Oryctolagus cuniculus: one gene and its partner. Each later gene encodes a partner of the first gene's protein in a complex. Links are inferred from orthologs where the notes say so. Each region holds a gene or a part of one and is shown in the gene's direction. Other genes may lie near its edges.

The links.
Region 2: the proteins of SERPINC1 (region 1) and F9 are in contact, whole or in part, in a crystal structure (PDB 3KCG), measured with the Homo sapiens proteins. The link is inferred for Oryctolagus cuniculus from reciprocal best matches to the Homo sapiens genes SERPINC1 and F9. Residues at the interface, in NP_000479.1 of Homo sapiens: Glu264, Asn265, Arg267, Glu269, Met283, Met284, Tyr285, Glu287, Met347, Val349, His351, Val420, Val421, Ile422, Ala423, Gly424, Arg425, Ser426, Leu427, Asn428, Pro429, Asn430, Arg431; in NP_000124.1 of Homo sapiens: Lys247, Val248, Asp249, Ala250, Phe251, Cys252, His267, Cys268, Glu270, Glu285, Tyr312, Arg358, Phe360, Lys362, Gly363, Arg364, Ser365, Leu367, Lys387, Phe388, Asp405, Ser406, Cys407, Gln408, Gly409, Asp410, Ile429, Ser430, Trp431, Gly432.

The regions. Positions count from the first base shown.
Region 1 is NC_091438.1:2,334,857-2,342,007, reverse strand, and holds the start of SERPINC1 (antithrombin-III), read left to right. Parts: upstream 1-2,874; 5' UTR 2,875-2,991; coding exon 2,992-3,032; intron 3,033-6,164; coding exon 6,165-6,534; intron 6,535-7,151. UniProt on the Homo sapiens protein: Most important serine protease inhibitor in plasma that regulates the blood coagulation cascade. AT-III inhibits thrombin, matriptase-3/TMPRSS7, as well as factors IXa, Xa and XIa. Its inhibitory activity is greatly enhanced in the presence of heparin.
Region 2 is NC_091453.1:117,822,119-117,828,610, forward strand, and holds part of F9 (coagulation factor IX), read left to right. Parts: intron 1-2,312; coding exon 2,313-2,441; intron 2,442-4,447; coding exon 4,448-4,653; intron 4,654-6,492. UniProt on the Homo sapiens protein: Factor IX is a vitamin K-dependent plasma protein that participates in the intrinsic pathway of blood coagulation by converting factor X to its active form in the presence of Ca(2+) ions, phospholipids, and factor VIIIa.

The DNA.
Region 1 (7,151 bases):
CATTTTGAGTCCCTGCTGACGTGCCTGGGAAAGCAGTGGGAGACGGCTCCAGCGCTTGGATGGAGTTCCTGGCTCCTGTGTCCAACTTGGCCCAGCCCCACCTATTGAGAGCATTTGCGGAATGAACCAGTAGATGAAAGATCTCTATGCCTCTCCACCCCTGCAACTGCCTTTCAAGTAAATAAAAAAGACATTAACGGGCTGGCATTCAGCCTCGTGGCTAAGACTCCCCACACTTTGTAGCACATCTGGAGACCTGGGTTTGGTTCCCAGCTCTTCTTCCTGCTATCAGAGACACTCGGAGAGGGAAGAGGGGAGCAGTGGTGAGGGCTCGAGCATGCGGGTTCCTGCCATCCATGTGGGAGATCCAGATTGAGTTACTGGCTCCTGGCTTTGGTCCATTTGGAAAGTGAACCAGTGGATGCAGCTTGCTCCCTCCCTCTCAATTTTTTTCAAAACCTTTCATTTTAATTTTTTTTAAAGATTTATGTATTTACTTGAAAGACAGAGTTACACACACACACACACACAGAGAGAGAGAGAGAGGGAGGGAGGGAGGGGGAGAGAGGTCTTCTACTGCTTTCCCAGGCCATAGCAGAGAGCTGGATCGGAAGAGGAGCAGCCGGGACTAGAACCAGCGCCCATATGGGATGCCAGAGCCCCAGGTCAGGGCGTCAACCCACTGAGCCACAGCACCGGCCCAATTAATTCTTTATTTTTAAGATTTATTTATTTGAAAGGCAGAGTTACAGGAAGGATATATCTACGATCTACTCGTTCATTCTGCAAATGGCTGCAACAGCCAAGAGCCTGGAATTCCATCTGGGAGCTCCCATGTGGGTGGCAGAGGCCCAAGCACTGAAGCCATCTTCCCAGGAATAGTAGCAGGGAGCTGGATCAGAGTGGAGCAACTAGGACTCTAACTGGCACTAATATGTCACAAGTGGTGGCTTAACCTGCTATACCACAATGGCAGTCCCAAAACTATTTTAATTGTACTAATGATATTTAAATGTTGTTTGACAAGACTATATAAATGGATTTTGATACCAAGAAGTTTGAAACTACAGCTATAAAAACAAAGGGATGATTGGGAAAATTAGAATAAGGTTCATAGATTTGAAAATAGTATTATATTTTAAGGCCGGCGCCGCAGCTCACTAGGCTAATCCTCCACCTAGCGGCACCGGCACACCGGGTTCTAGTCCCGGTCGGGGCGCCGGATTCTGTCCTGGTTGCCCCTCTTCCAGGCCAGCTCTCTGCTGTGGCCCGGGAGGGCAGTGGAGGATGGCCCAAGTGCTTGGGCCCTGCACCCCATGGGAGACCAGGAGAAGTACCTGGTTCCTGCCATCGAATCAGCGCGGTGCGCCGGCCCCGGCAGCCATTGGAGGGTGAACCAACGGCAAAAGGAAGACCTTTCTCTCTGTCTCTCTCTCTCTCTCTCTCACTGTCCACTCTGCCTGTCAAAAAATAATAAAAAAAGACTGAAGGGTACGGTAGCGCTCTTTTTTTTTTTTTTTTAAAGAAAATAGTATTATATTTTAAAACAATGTCAATGTCAATTTCCATTCTTTGATCACTGTATTGGAACCATACAAGGGACTGTTTTTAACTTAACATTATATAGGGATAAAGGGGCATTATCTTTGCAACTTATTTTCAAACAGTGTGGAAAAACAACTGTATTTGTATATATACAAGAGTGCTTCAAAAATTCCATGGAAAATGGAAGTAAAAGATAAGTTTATTTTGGTTAAAATCTTGGAGCATCATTCCTCGGTAGAAACACGCTTGGCACGCACCTTGGGGCCCTTGCTCCTGTGTCTGCCTCCCATCACTTCAGGGCTGAGTGGGGAATGGGGCCATCTGTGAGCCACAGGTGTGACCGTGGTGGGTGTTGAGTGGGGAATGGGGCCATCTGTGAGCCACAGGTGTGACCTTGGTGGGTGTTGGTCTGGTCTAGGGACACCTTGGCTCTCAGAACCTGAAGGTAGCAGCTTGTTCGTCTTTTTCCCCTTTGGTTAAGTATGATGGTCTCAGTACCTCTTCTCTCCTCTCTCACTGGCTCACTCTCCATAAGGAAAACTGAAACCGGGGCAGGTGCTTTGCCTAGCAGTTAGGACGCTGGTTGCAATGACTACATCCCATATCAGTGCACCCAGCTCTGGCTCTCAGCTCTGCCTTTCTGCTAATGCAGACCCCGGGAGGCAGCAGCGATTGGGTTCAGCTGCCCACATGGGAGACCTAGACAGTATTCTCAATTCTGTTTTGGCCATGGATTTTGTGGGCACTTGAGAAATGAAAGAGTGGATAGGATCTCGCTCTCTCTGTCTCTCAAATCAATACAATTAAGAAAAATTTATTTATTTCAAAGAGTTACACAGGTGTGTGTGTTTGGGGGGGTGTCTCCCCTCTGCTGGCTCACGCTCCAGATTCAGAGCTGAGCTGAAGCCAGGAGCCAGGAGCCAGTAGTGGTCTCCCACGCGGGTGCAGGGGCCCAAGCACTTGGGCCATCTTCCACTGCTTTCCCAGGCCATAGCAGAGCGCTGGATCGGAAGTGGAGCAGCCGGGACTCGAACTGGTGCCCATATGGGATGCTGGCACTGCAGGCTGCGGTAATCCCGCGGTCAAACTTCTCCACAGGCAGGTATTTTCTGACCAAGCGTTAATTCCCGAGGATGTTCTCCGTCTCCTTGTCTATAAAGGCGGGAGGAGAGCGGGGTTGCGCAGGCAGAGATGGGCCCCACGTCCTAGGCCGGGCTAGTCCGGGCCTACCCCAACTTCTCGGCCAAGTAAACAGCACTGGGCGCTGCACTTTGCTTAACCCTGGGAACTGGTCATCAGCCTTTGACCTCAGCCCTCCCCTCCTGGCCCGCCCCTCCCCCCTCCCGGCCTCTGGAACCTCAGGGAGCTTTAGAGCAAAGAACCAGTTTTCAGAGAGTGCCTCAGCGACACTGTCTCCACCTGCGCAGCCCGGGACGCGTGGCGACCATGTATTCCAGCGGGGCAGGAACCCGAGCGGCTGCTAAGAGGTAAGAGGGCGAGGCTTCCCTCGGCCTGCGGCCCTCACACGGAGGCTGACCCCGGCCCCTCTCGCTGGGGCTCGCCCTCCAAGAGTGGTCGGAAGCCGGTTCAAGGCCCCCTGCCGCCTCCCCGCCCCTCCCTTAGCCACACCTTAGGCTCTCGGCCGGGCCTTGAGAGGGCCTCTTCCTTCCCGTGAAGATGCCGTGCAGAGCATGCTTGGTCCGCCCCCTGGGGGATTCCAGGGCCTGCCTGCCTTCCAACGGGAGGGCGGCGAGGGCGAGTTGAACACGCGAGGGCCTCCTAACTCCCTTTGCTCCTCCTTCCGCCTGCTTGCCCCCTGCCCAAGATCCCAGTGACCTTCGACAAGAGGGCCAAGCCGGGTGCCCTCTCCGCCGTGGGACTCCTCCCTCCCCTGTCTTGGTCTGGTTTCCTGAGACGTTGAAGTGAAACGTCAGCTCCAGCAGCTTGGTTTCTCTTGGTCCTGTTTTTTTTTTTTTTTTTTTTTTTTTTTGACAGGCAGAGTGGACAGTGAGAGAGAGAGAGAGAGAGACAGAGAGAAAGGTCTTCCTTTGCTGTTGGTTCACCCTCCAATGGCCGCCGCAGCCAGCACACCACGCTGATCTGAAGCCAGGAGCCAGGTGCTTCTCCTGGTCTCCCATGGGGTGCAGGGCCCAAGCACTTGGGCCATCCTCCACTGCACTCCCTGGCCACAGCAGAGAGCTGGCCTGGAAGAGGGGCAACCGGGACAGAATCCGGTGCCCTGACCGGAACTAGAACCTGGTGTGCCGGCGCCACAAGGCGGAGGATTAGCCTAGTGAGCCGTGGCGCCGGCCTTCTCTTGGTCTTTAACAGAGCTCCCGGGTGCCCCCCCCCCCCATTTCTAATGTAGCTTAAGACAAAACGAGAAACAAAACACACTCAGGGGAGGCAGGGAAGGGTCCTCCCACTCTCTCGCTGCTTCCTGCTGCCTACCACCCTGCACCTGCTATGAGGCGCGGGGCTGGCCTCGGACCCTGCCGGGAGAAAGCCCCCTGACTGCACCCAGGCTCCAGGTGGCCCCACGCCCGCCCAGGAGACGCTTCAGTGAGTCCTGTCTGCGCTGCGTGCCTTTTTCTTGTTTTATTTATTTGCTTGTTTGAAAGGCAGAGAGAGAGATTTTCCAGATTCAGTCCTCAAATGCCCCAGGGACCCACACCAGCGGGAGGAAGCTCCCAGCCCACGTGTTTTCTACCAGAGACTGTCTCTTGGTGTGCTTTACTGAGTCCTACTTCTTAACTGCTAGTCTCACTAGCTCATTTTTTACAAGATGAGTTTCATATTGCTATTGAAAATGAAGCTATTGAAAATTCCAGAAAACAACAAAGGACGAGGTTCTGAACTACGTAGTGGCAGCAACTGGGAAGGAGCAAGCGTGCAGTGAGTGGCACCTGGGGTCAATCAGGTGAGAAGGCCAGGGTCCAGGAGGGTCCCATGCCTGAGCTGGAGCGTGTGAAGGAGAAGCAGGTGGGTGCGAGAGAAACACGCCTTCTGCAGGCCCCCAGGGCAAGTCTCCAGCAACTGTGGGGAGCTCTGCAGGAGATCAGGGCTGGAGCCAGGGATTGGGTGCCTTCAACACACAGATGCTCCTGCCCCTTTCCTCCTTACCCCTCCTATTGCTGAAATCTCTTGGCTGCTTCGATCAAATTTCTTCCTGTCCTTTAAGATCCAGCTAAATTCCATTATTGATGAGTGGGGCCTTCCCTAAACAGCTTCTGTAAGTGGCTCCCCCTACTGCCCTAACTCTTTTTTTTTTTTTTTTTTTTTTTGGACAGGCAGAGTGGACAGAGAGAAAGGTGTCTTCCTTTTCTATTAGTTCACCCCCCAATGGCCACTGCGGCCAGCGCACCCTGCTGATCCAAAGCCAGGAGCCAGGTGCTTCTCCTGGTCTCCCATGGGGTGCAGGGCCCAAGCACTTGGGCCATCCTCCACTGCACTCCTGGGCCACAGCAGAGAGCCGGACTGGAAAAGGAGCAACCGCGACAGAATCCGGCGCTCCAACCAAGACTAGAACCCGGGGTGCCGGTGCCACAGGCAGAGGATTAGCCTAGTGAGCTGCGGTGCCGGCTATCCCTAACTCTTCATTAAGCACTGAAGTTCCCAGCCTATTTTCTCCTGTGTGTTCCCTGTCATAAATGGAAATCTTTGCATTCTTTTTTTTTTTTTTTTAAAGATTTACTTATTTATTTGAAAGGCAGAGTTACAGAGACAGAAGGACAAAGAGGGGCTGGCACTGTGGTGTAGTGGATAAAGCCGCCGCCTACTGTGCTGGCATCTCATATGGGTGCCATCAAGTACTGGCTGCTCCTCTTCCTGTCCAGCTCTCTGCTGTGGCCTGGGAAAGCAGTGGAAGATGGCCCAAGTGCTTGGGCCCTGTACCCACGTGGGAGACCCGGAAGAAGCTCCTGGCTCCTGGCTTTGGATCGGCACAGCTCTGGCCATTGCGGCCATCTGGGGAGTGAACCAGCGGATGGAAGACCTCTCTCTCTGCCTCTGCCTCTCTGTAAATCTGACTTTCAAGTAAACAAATAAAATATTTAAAAAAGAAGAAGGCGGCGGCCATAGAGTGAGTGATAGATCTTCCATCCATAGGTTCACTTTCTAAATGGCCACAATGACCGGCCAAAGCCGGAGCCAGGAGCTTCTTCTGGGTCTTCCACGTGGGTGCAGAGGCCCAAGGACCTGGATCATCTTCCGCTGCTTCCCCAGGCTCATTAGCAGGGAACTGGATAGGAAGTAGAGTAGCCAGGACTTGAACTGTTGCCCATATGGGACATCGGAGCTGCGGGCCATGACTCAACCTGCTGTGCTGCAGTGTCGCTGGCCCCAAGCTTTGCATTCTTAATTTCTCCCAGTGTGGGCCCTTTAGCATTGGTTGATTAAGCTGTGGATTCTATTCCCAACCTGAGTCTATCCAGGCAAGTAGGACTACCCATTTGCAGAGAGTTGTCCTGGCCTCTTTTACTTGGTTCTGAGGCTTTGACCTTCCTCCTGGTCACATCACATGGGCTGGGACCGTGTGCTCTACTGAGGCAAGCCTGTAGCTGACCATTAGATCGGGGGTCCCCCAGCCTAGCCTAATTCAGCATTCTGTCTCCTTGTAGGAAGGTATGTCTTCTCTCCTTGCTGCTCGTTGGCCTCTGGGGCCGTGTGGCTTGTCACGAGAGCCCTGTGGAGGACATCTGCACGGCCAAGCCCCGGGACTTCCCTCTGAACCCCATGTGCATTTACCGTTCCCCAGAGAAGAAGGCAACGGAGGATGAGGGGTCAGAACTGAAGATCCCTGAGGCCACCAATCGTCGGGTCTGGGAACTATCCAAGGCCAATTCCCGCTTCGCCACCATCTTCTATAAGCACCTGGCAGACGCCAAGAAGGACAATGACAACATTTTCCTGTCACCCCTGAGCATCTCTACGGCTTTTGCGATGACCAAGCTAGGTGCCTGTAACGATACCCTCAAGCAGCTGATGGAGGTATCTTCCAAAGCCCTCGGCCGCCTCGTGCTGGGAGCATTTCGGGGCTCCCATAGGTCAATGACTGCTGAACCAAAAGGAGCTCAGTACGGGCTGTGCTTTCCTTTGAATCGTCACTTCACATGATTTCCTTTGAAAAGCTTTTTTTTCTTTTTTTAAATTAGGCAAGGAATGTCTCTTTATAAATCTGAGTGTCCTCTTTTGGGCTATTTTCAAATGGGGGGAGGCCTGTGTCTCTTCAACTTCTTCTTCTTTTTTTTTTTTTTTTTTTTGACAGGCAGAGTTAGACAGTGAGAGAGAGAGAGACAGAGAGAAAGGTCTTCCTTTGCCGTTGGTTCACCCCCCAAAGGGCCGCTATGGCTGGTGCACCGCGCTGATCCAAAGCCAGGAGCCAGGTGCTTCTCCTGGTCTCCCATGGGGTGCAGGGCCCAAGCACTTGGGCCATCTTCCACTGCACTCCCTGGCCACAGCAGAGAGCTGGCCTGGAAGAGGGGCAACCGGGACAGAATCCGGCGCCCCAACCGGGACTAGAACCGGTGTGCTAGCGCTGCAGGCAGAGGATTAGCCAAGTGAGCCGTGGCACCGGCCTTCTTAAACTTTCTTAATCATTCTTTCAT
Region 2 (6,492 bases), on another chromosome or scaffold:
ATGTTCTCCTTGATCGGTGACAACTAACTGAGCACCAAAAAGGAAACCTGTTAAAGTGAAATGAACACTATGAGAAATGGTGACTTGATCAGCCCTTGCCCTGACTGTTGATGAACTTAATACATTATCCCTCTTAGTATTTTTTTTGTTTGTTCTACTTAATACTTTTGGTTGAATACTGTAATCAATACACAGTTATTCTTAAGTGTTGAAACTTAACTGAAAAGTGATCGCTGTTAAATATAAGAGGGGGAATAAGAGAGGGAAGAGATGTGCAATTCAGGACATGCTCAAGCTGACTTGCCCCAAACAGTAGAGTTAGAAACATACCAGGGGATTCCAATTCAATCCCATCAAGGTGGCATGTACCAATGCCATCTCACTAGTCCCAGTGATCAATTTCTGTTCACAATTGATCATAATGATAGGACTAAGAGCCAAAGGGATCACATAAACAAGAATAGTGTCTGCAAATACTAGCTGATAGAACAAAAAAGGGAGAGAACGATCCAACATGGAAAGCGGGATACACAGCAGATTCATAGAATGGCAGATGTCCTAAACAGCACTCTGGCCTCAGAATCGGCCCTTAAGGCATGCAGATCCGGCTGAAAAGCCCATGAGAGTATTTTAGGCATGGAAAGCCAAGACACTCTGGCAAAAAAAAAAAAAACAACAACAACAACACCTAAATGAAAGATCTCTGCGAGTGAGATCCCAGTGGAAAGAACAGGTCATCAAAGAAGGAAGTACCTTTCTCTGAAGGGAGGAGAGAACTTCCACTTTGACTACGACCTTGTCTAAATATGATCAGAGTCGGCGAACTCAGGGGGCTTCCATAGCCTTGGCAGCTCATGACAAGAGCCTAGGGCGATTACTGATGCCATAAACAAGAGTGTCAATTTGTTAAGTCAACAACAGGAGTCACTGTGCACTTACTCCTCATGTAGGATCTCTGTCCTTAATGTGCTGTACATTGTGATTTAATGCTATAACTAGTACTCAAACAGTATTTTTCACTTTGTGTTTCTATGTGGGTGCAAACTGTTGAAATCTTTACTTAATATATACTAAACTGATCTTCTGCATATAAAGAGAATTGAAAATGAATCTTGATGTGAATGGAAGGGGAGAGGGAGCAGGAAAGGGGAGGGTTGCGGGTGGGAGGGAAGTTATGGGCAGGGGGAAGCCATTGTAATCCATAAGCTGTACTTTGGAAATTTATATTCATTAAACAAAAGTTTAAAAAAATATAGTGATATATCAATAAGATATTCATATGGAGAAAACTGAATCTGGCCCCCTACTTCACACTATAAACCATAAATCAATCCCAAGTGGACTAAAGATTTAAATATATAAAACAATAAAGCCTTATATTTTTACCTTGAGGGAAGTAAAATTCTCTTAAACAATACAAAAGGCAATTGCCACAAAAAGATTAATAAACTGGACTATATTTAAACCAAGAACTTTTCTTCAGTAAAAGACACTATTTAAAGAGAAAAGGCAAGTCACAAAATATACGAAGTTATTTGCAATACATATATATAATAACTGAAACTCTCATACACTAATGGTGGGAATTTTAATTTATAAAATCATTTTAGAAAATTGCTTGGCAGTATCTACTAGGCCTGAACATAAGTTGAATAATTTTGCTTGTAAGTCCAGTAAAACTGCATGCTTACGTTGCCAAAAATAATGTACAAGAATGTTCATTACAGTATACATAAGCTCCAAAAAAAATGGAAATGTCCCAAATAGATTGATGTTTTAATATTAAGACAATGGAATACTACACAGCAATGTAAATGAACTACTGTTATACAAAAACATGGATGAATCTTAAAGACAAAAAGAGAAATGAAAGACAGAGGAGTATCTATTGTGAGTTCATGAATGGCAAAACAGTTCACTGTGTCAGAAGTCCAGTTAATGGTAACCTTTGAAAAGGAAGAAGGGAAGAGTGATTGGGAGGGGGCATTAGGAGAGCTTCTGGGATGTTAATAATGTTTCATATAATTCTTTTTAATTTCTAGATGGGTACATTTACTTTATGGGAACTTTAGTATGTACTTTTCTGAATGTGTATTATACTTCAATAAGGTTGTTTAATTGCAGGTCATGATTCAGTGAAAGTAAAGTGAAAGGATTTTACATTTCTTTTCACTCTTAGCTCAAGGCTTCCAAGTTTTTCACCACAAATGCCCCCAGGGTACACTTGACCTATTCATGAATAAGTAGTTTCATGTACATGTTTGAAATGAATGCTACATGATGTTATTACTCTTTGTGTTACTTTCTTTTAGATTCAACTTGCAGCATTAAGAATGGCAGATGTGAGCAGTTTTGTAGAAAGAATCGTAATAACAAGATTATCTGCTCCTGTACTGAGGGATACCGACTTGCGGAAAACCAGAAGTCTTGTGAACCAGCAGGTCAAAATCAAAATAAGTATTTTAAAGAAAATCTATATTTGGACCTTCGACAATTTAAGTATCCTACATAATTTTAATCTCTACTTGTGTCTACTTACACTTGATATCAATGAAAAGATCAGTAGCCTGAATTATACAAATGAGTTTCCAAATTGCATTGTTTTAAATTTAAATCCTGTAATTATCTCCAGTGTAGACTCTTATTTTCATCCATTTTTTTCTTTCATGTCACAAAGCAATTGGTTTGATTTTTGTACAAGTATTTAAAATTCACTAAGTCAAACTAATGTAAAAATGCACTACTACACCATCAAAGATACACACATAGTGATAGATTTCTAGTACAAGGATGGTGAATTTTAAGCATGGTTCTAACAGGGCCAAGCTAGTTTACTTTTAGGAAGTTTTTTCCTACGCCTAGGTCTCAAGCTAAGTTTACACACTTAGTCTCAGTGGTTCTAGCAACTAACTTCTTCAAGTTTTCTAGATTGATCAACACAATCCATACAGCAGGGAAAAAAGTAATGTTTTCCAGTCATGTCAACCATGCTACCATGTTGACAGCAGATTTATATATTCGGTACCCCACACTCATACTATTCTTTTCTGAAGACAAAAGCAATAGAAACTGATTTTTTAAAAAGTGGACTCTGCAGGATCAATTATATTTGATAAATGAACTTTTTGAAGCTAACTAGATATAAATTTTTGCATTAGCAAAGCCTGATATCTTACTAAATTGGCACATTAAATCATGCACCATTCCTCTGAAACTGGGTTCAATGCATATCTTGACAGTGCACCAGGCAGAAGATATTAAAGAAAGGACCAGAAGCCCGGTGCATACATGCTGCAACTAAAATGAAGAGTCTCCAATGTTTCAGAACCTGCTTTCCTCTCCTTCTGATTTGTTTTCACATGCCTTAAAACTAGCCTCTCTTAGAAGGAGTGTGTGTGTCTTTAACATGAAAGTCCAACTTCTAGTCCAGACAGATAGTATAGACACTAAACCCTTACAAGCCCTTCTATGTTGTAAGAGAGAAAAAGAATTGAAAACCATCTCCTACTATTAAGTGTAATATTTGAATACAGCCTTAGCTTTAACAGAATAAGTAGGCCAAACATAAAATAAGCTTTTCTGTCTTTTCAATAACGGTCCCTTTTCTCTAGCCCATTGTTGATCATGTACATTTATACATAAGTATTTTGAACTAATTTCCTGTTTTCCCAACCACATGCTGTCTTCATGATACTTTGCCGCAGCTGGTTGCTATAGAAATGCCTGTTATAAGGAACATGGCTAGAAGGAAAGTCAGAAATGAAAATGAAATGTTAGGTGACTTTGTTTGACTACAAATTTCCATTCTGGTTGTCCCCAGCATATCAGTACACGATTTATTTTTTTTAGAAAATAAATTAACCCAGTGGAAAAGGGTGGCCAGACACCAAGTATATGTGGCTATGATAATCTTTAGTAATCTATTTGGTTAATATTTGACAGCCAGGTAATTGAATTATAATGATATCTTTCAAACAAATTCCTAAAATCCACCTTGGGATCTAGAAAGCATTCTAATCTACAAAAGAAATCCTATTAATGATAAAGAGCAGAATTCCCAATTACATAATTGCAAAGTTAGATTTCCATTCAGGGATGGCACTTAAGAGTAAGACGTTTTAGTAAAGAAACTAAACAGAAAGTCAGTATACTCTATAAAAGTCTTACCCAATTTAATTCTGGAACACCTACTCTATTTCCATAAAGATGATGGATCCCTGAGCCAAATGTTCTTTTTAGGAAGGGTTTGAAAACTTTCCACAAAAAAAATGCAAGCAACCTTCTAATTTGAGACAATATTTATTTATTAGATTTTAAAAATATATCTATGGGTCTGCTTCTGCTTCTCAGAAGTGATAAGGATGGGTCTCATTCTCAATTTTTGTAACTCATCTTCTACTTGCCAATGAGAAATCTCAGAATACTAACTATTTTTCTACTTTTCCAGTGCCATTTCCATGTGGAAGAGTTTCTGTTTCACATGCTTCTAAGAAAATCACCCGTGCTACGACAATTTTTTCCAATACGGAGTATGAAAATTTTACTGAAGCTGAAACCATTCGGGGTAATGTCACTCAAGATGCCCAATCATCTGATGACTTCACTCGGATTGTTGGTGGAGAAAATGCAAAACCGGGTCAATTTCCGTGGCAGGTACTCTCTGCTGATGGTATCTCAAAACTGGAGCTCAGCTGGCAAGGGACAGGCCTGGTGGGCGACTGAGGCTAGGACACTAGACAACCCTATGAGGTGAGAAAAGTATTTAGGAAAAGTTCAGCACTAAACAATATGAGAACACCTCCACAAGTGTGCAGCTGGTGAAAGAGAAATTCAGGTACAGATCTTATATGAAATTAAGAAGAACTGGGCATAAAGAAAATAACATAGGATTGCAGACAAGCAGCTGGTCAGCAATTGGGAGAGTTGGAAGTGAGGTCACAAGAGCTAGGGTTCTGGGTACTACTTCAGCTTCAGTCCCTGGAAAAACTGGTAAAAGTTAGAAAGTCTATAGCTCCAGAGATGCTGAAGTATTTTGAAAGGACATAAAGACTTGAGTAGGCAGAAGTAAGGCAAGAACTAGGTGCACAGAACCAGGATATGGGATAGGGGCTTGTTCTACAGCTAAGGTTTTATTTTTCTTTTTAACTTTTAATAGCACATATTTGTAAGATATGATGTGATAATTCAACACTTGTGTCTGTGGTTCTTTTTAATTTTTATTAATACAAAGAGAACAGATTTCATGTATTTCATAGGTACTGTTCCAAGAAGACAACCATAATTCCCTCCTCTCTTCTCTCTCTTCTTCAATACTCTCCCCTTTCAATTCTTTCTTCAATTTTTGTAAAGGCATGCCTTCAATCCACTCCATAATCACAGGCTTAATACATCACCAACCATAATATTCAACAAGCAAAAAGCAGGAAGACCATAGTTCCACAGCAGTATAAACAAGGGCTAAAAACAACAGTCATATCCAAAAAGTCCATTTCAATGTGGCAGCATCAGCATCACCTGGAAGTTGTCAGGAATGCAAATATTCATGCTTTACTCCAGATCTACTGAATCAGAATCTCTGGGAGTGAAACCTAGCACTCTGCAGGCAAACAAGCTCTCCAAGAGGTTCTGATGTATGCTCCAGTTTGAAAACCCCTGGTCCAAAGAAACAAACCTGTTAAAAAAAAGTCAGGGTCCAAAACAAAACAAAAAATATACTCATGGATTCATGGTACCTAGTCCTCCAAGTGTAGTCTGCAGACATCCACAGGTACAGAATTATCTATGCACATTTTTGATGTTACAAGCAAGAGCACACTTCTAGCAAAACCTGGGTTATAATTGAGCCCACAGTTAATGCCTAAGTGATTCTATCTGTGAAACTAGGACCCCTCTTCCAATAAGAAGCCAGGCAGGTCTTTATATTATGCTGTACTGTCCAATAAGGTAGCCACTAGCCATGTATAACCACTGAAATTTAGCTTAACTATAATTAAGTATAATGAAAAATTCAATTCCTCAATCACATCTGCCACAGTTCACAGCATAATGGCCACACGTGCTACTGGATACTGTATTGGACAGGGCAGAGCACTTCCATCAATTCAGAAATTTCTATTAGTGCTCATAATATTGCCGGGCAACTTAATTTGGTAGTCATTTCAAGGATGCTTCACTCCAAAGTATTCTCTCTACTGGGGTTTGAATTTTCATCATAAGAGACTCAACTTTACAGACTCTGCAATCATCAAATGGGTAACAAGATCAGGTGAATGTCCTGAGGTCACAGTGGAATTTTCTGAGATCAGTTATGTATCTATCCAGGTTCCTTCATAATTCCTGTCATTTTCCATTATGATGGATATAAGATATGGAACATATATCTGGGGATGGAGGGGCCATGAAGGACTCAAATAGACATTGTAGAGAATGGTATAGAAGAGTAGCCAAACATCACAACCAAAGTTTTGTATTTTCCTTTCCTTTACTTTTGCC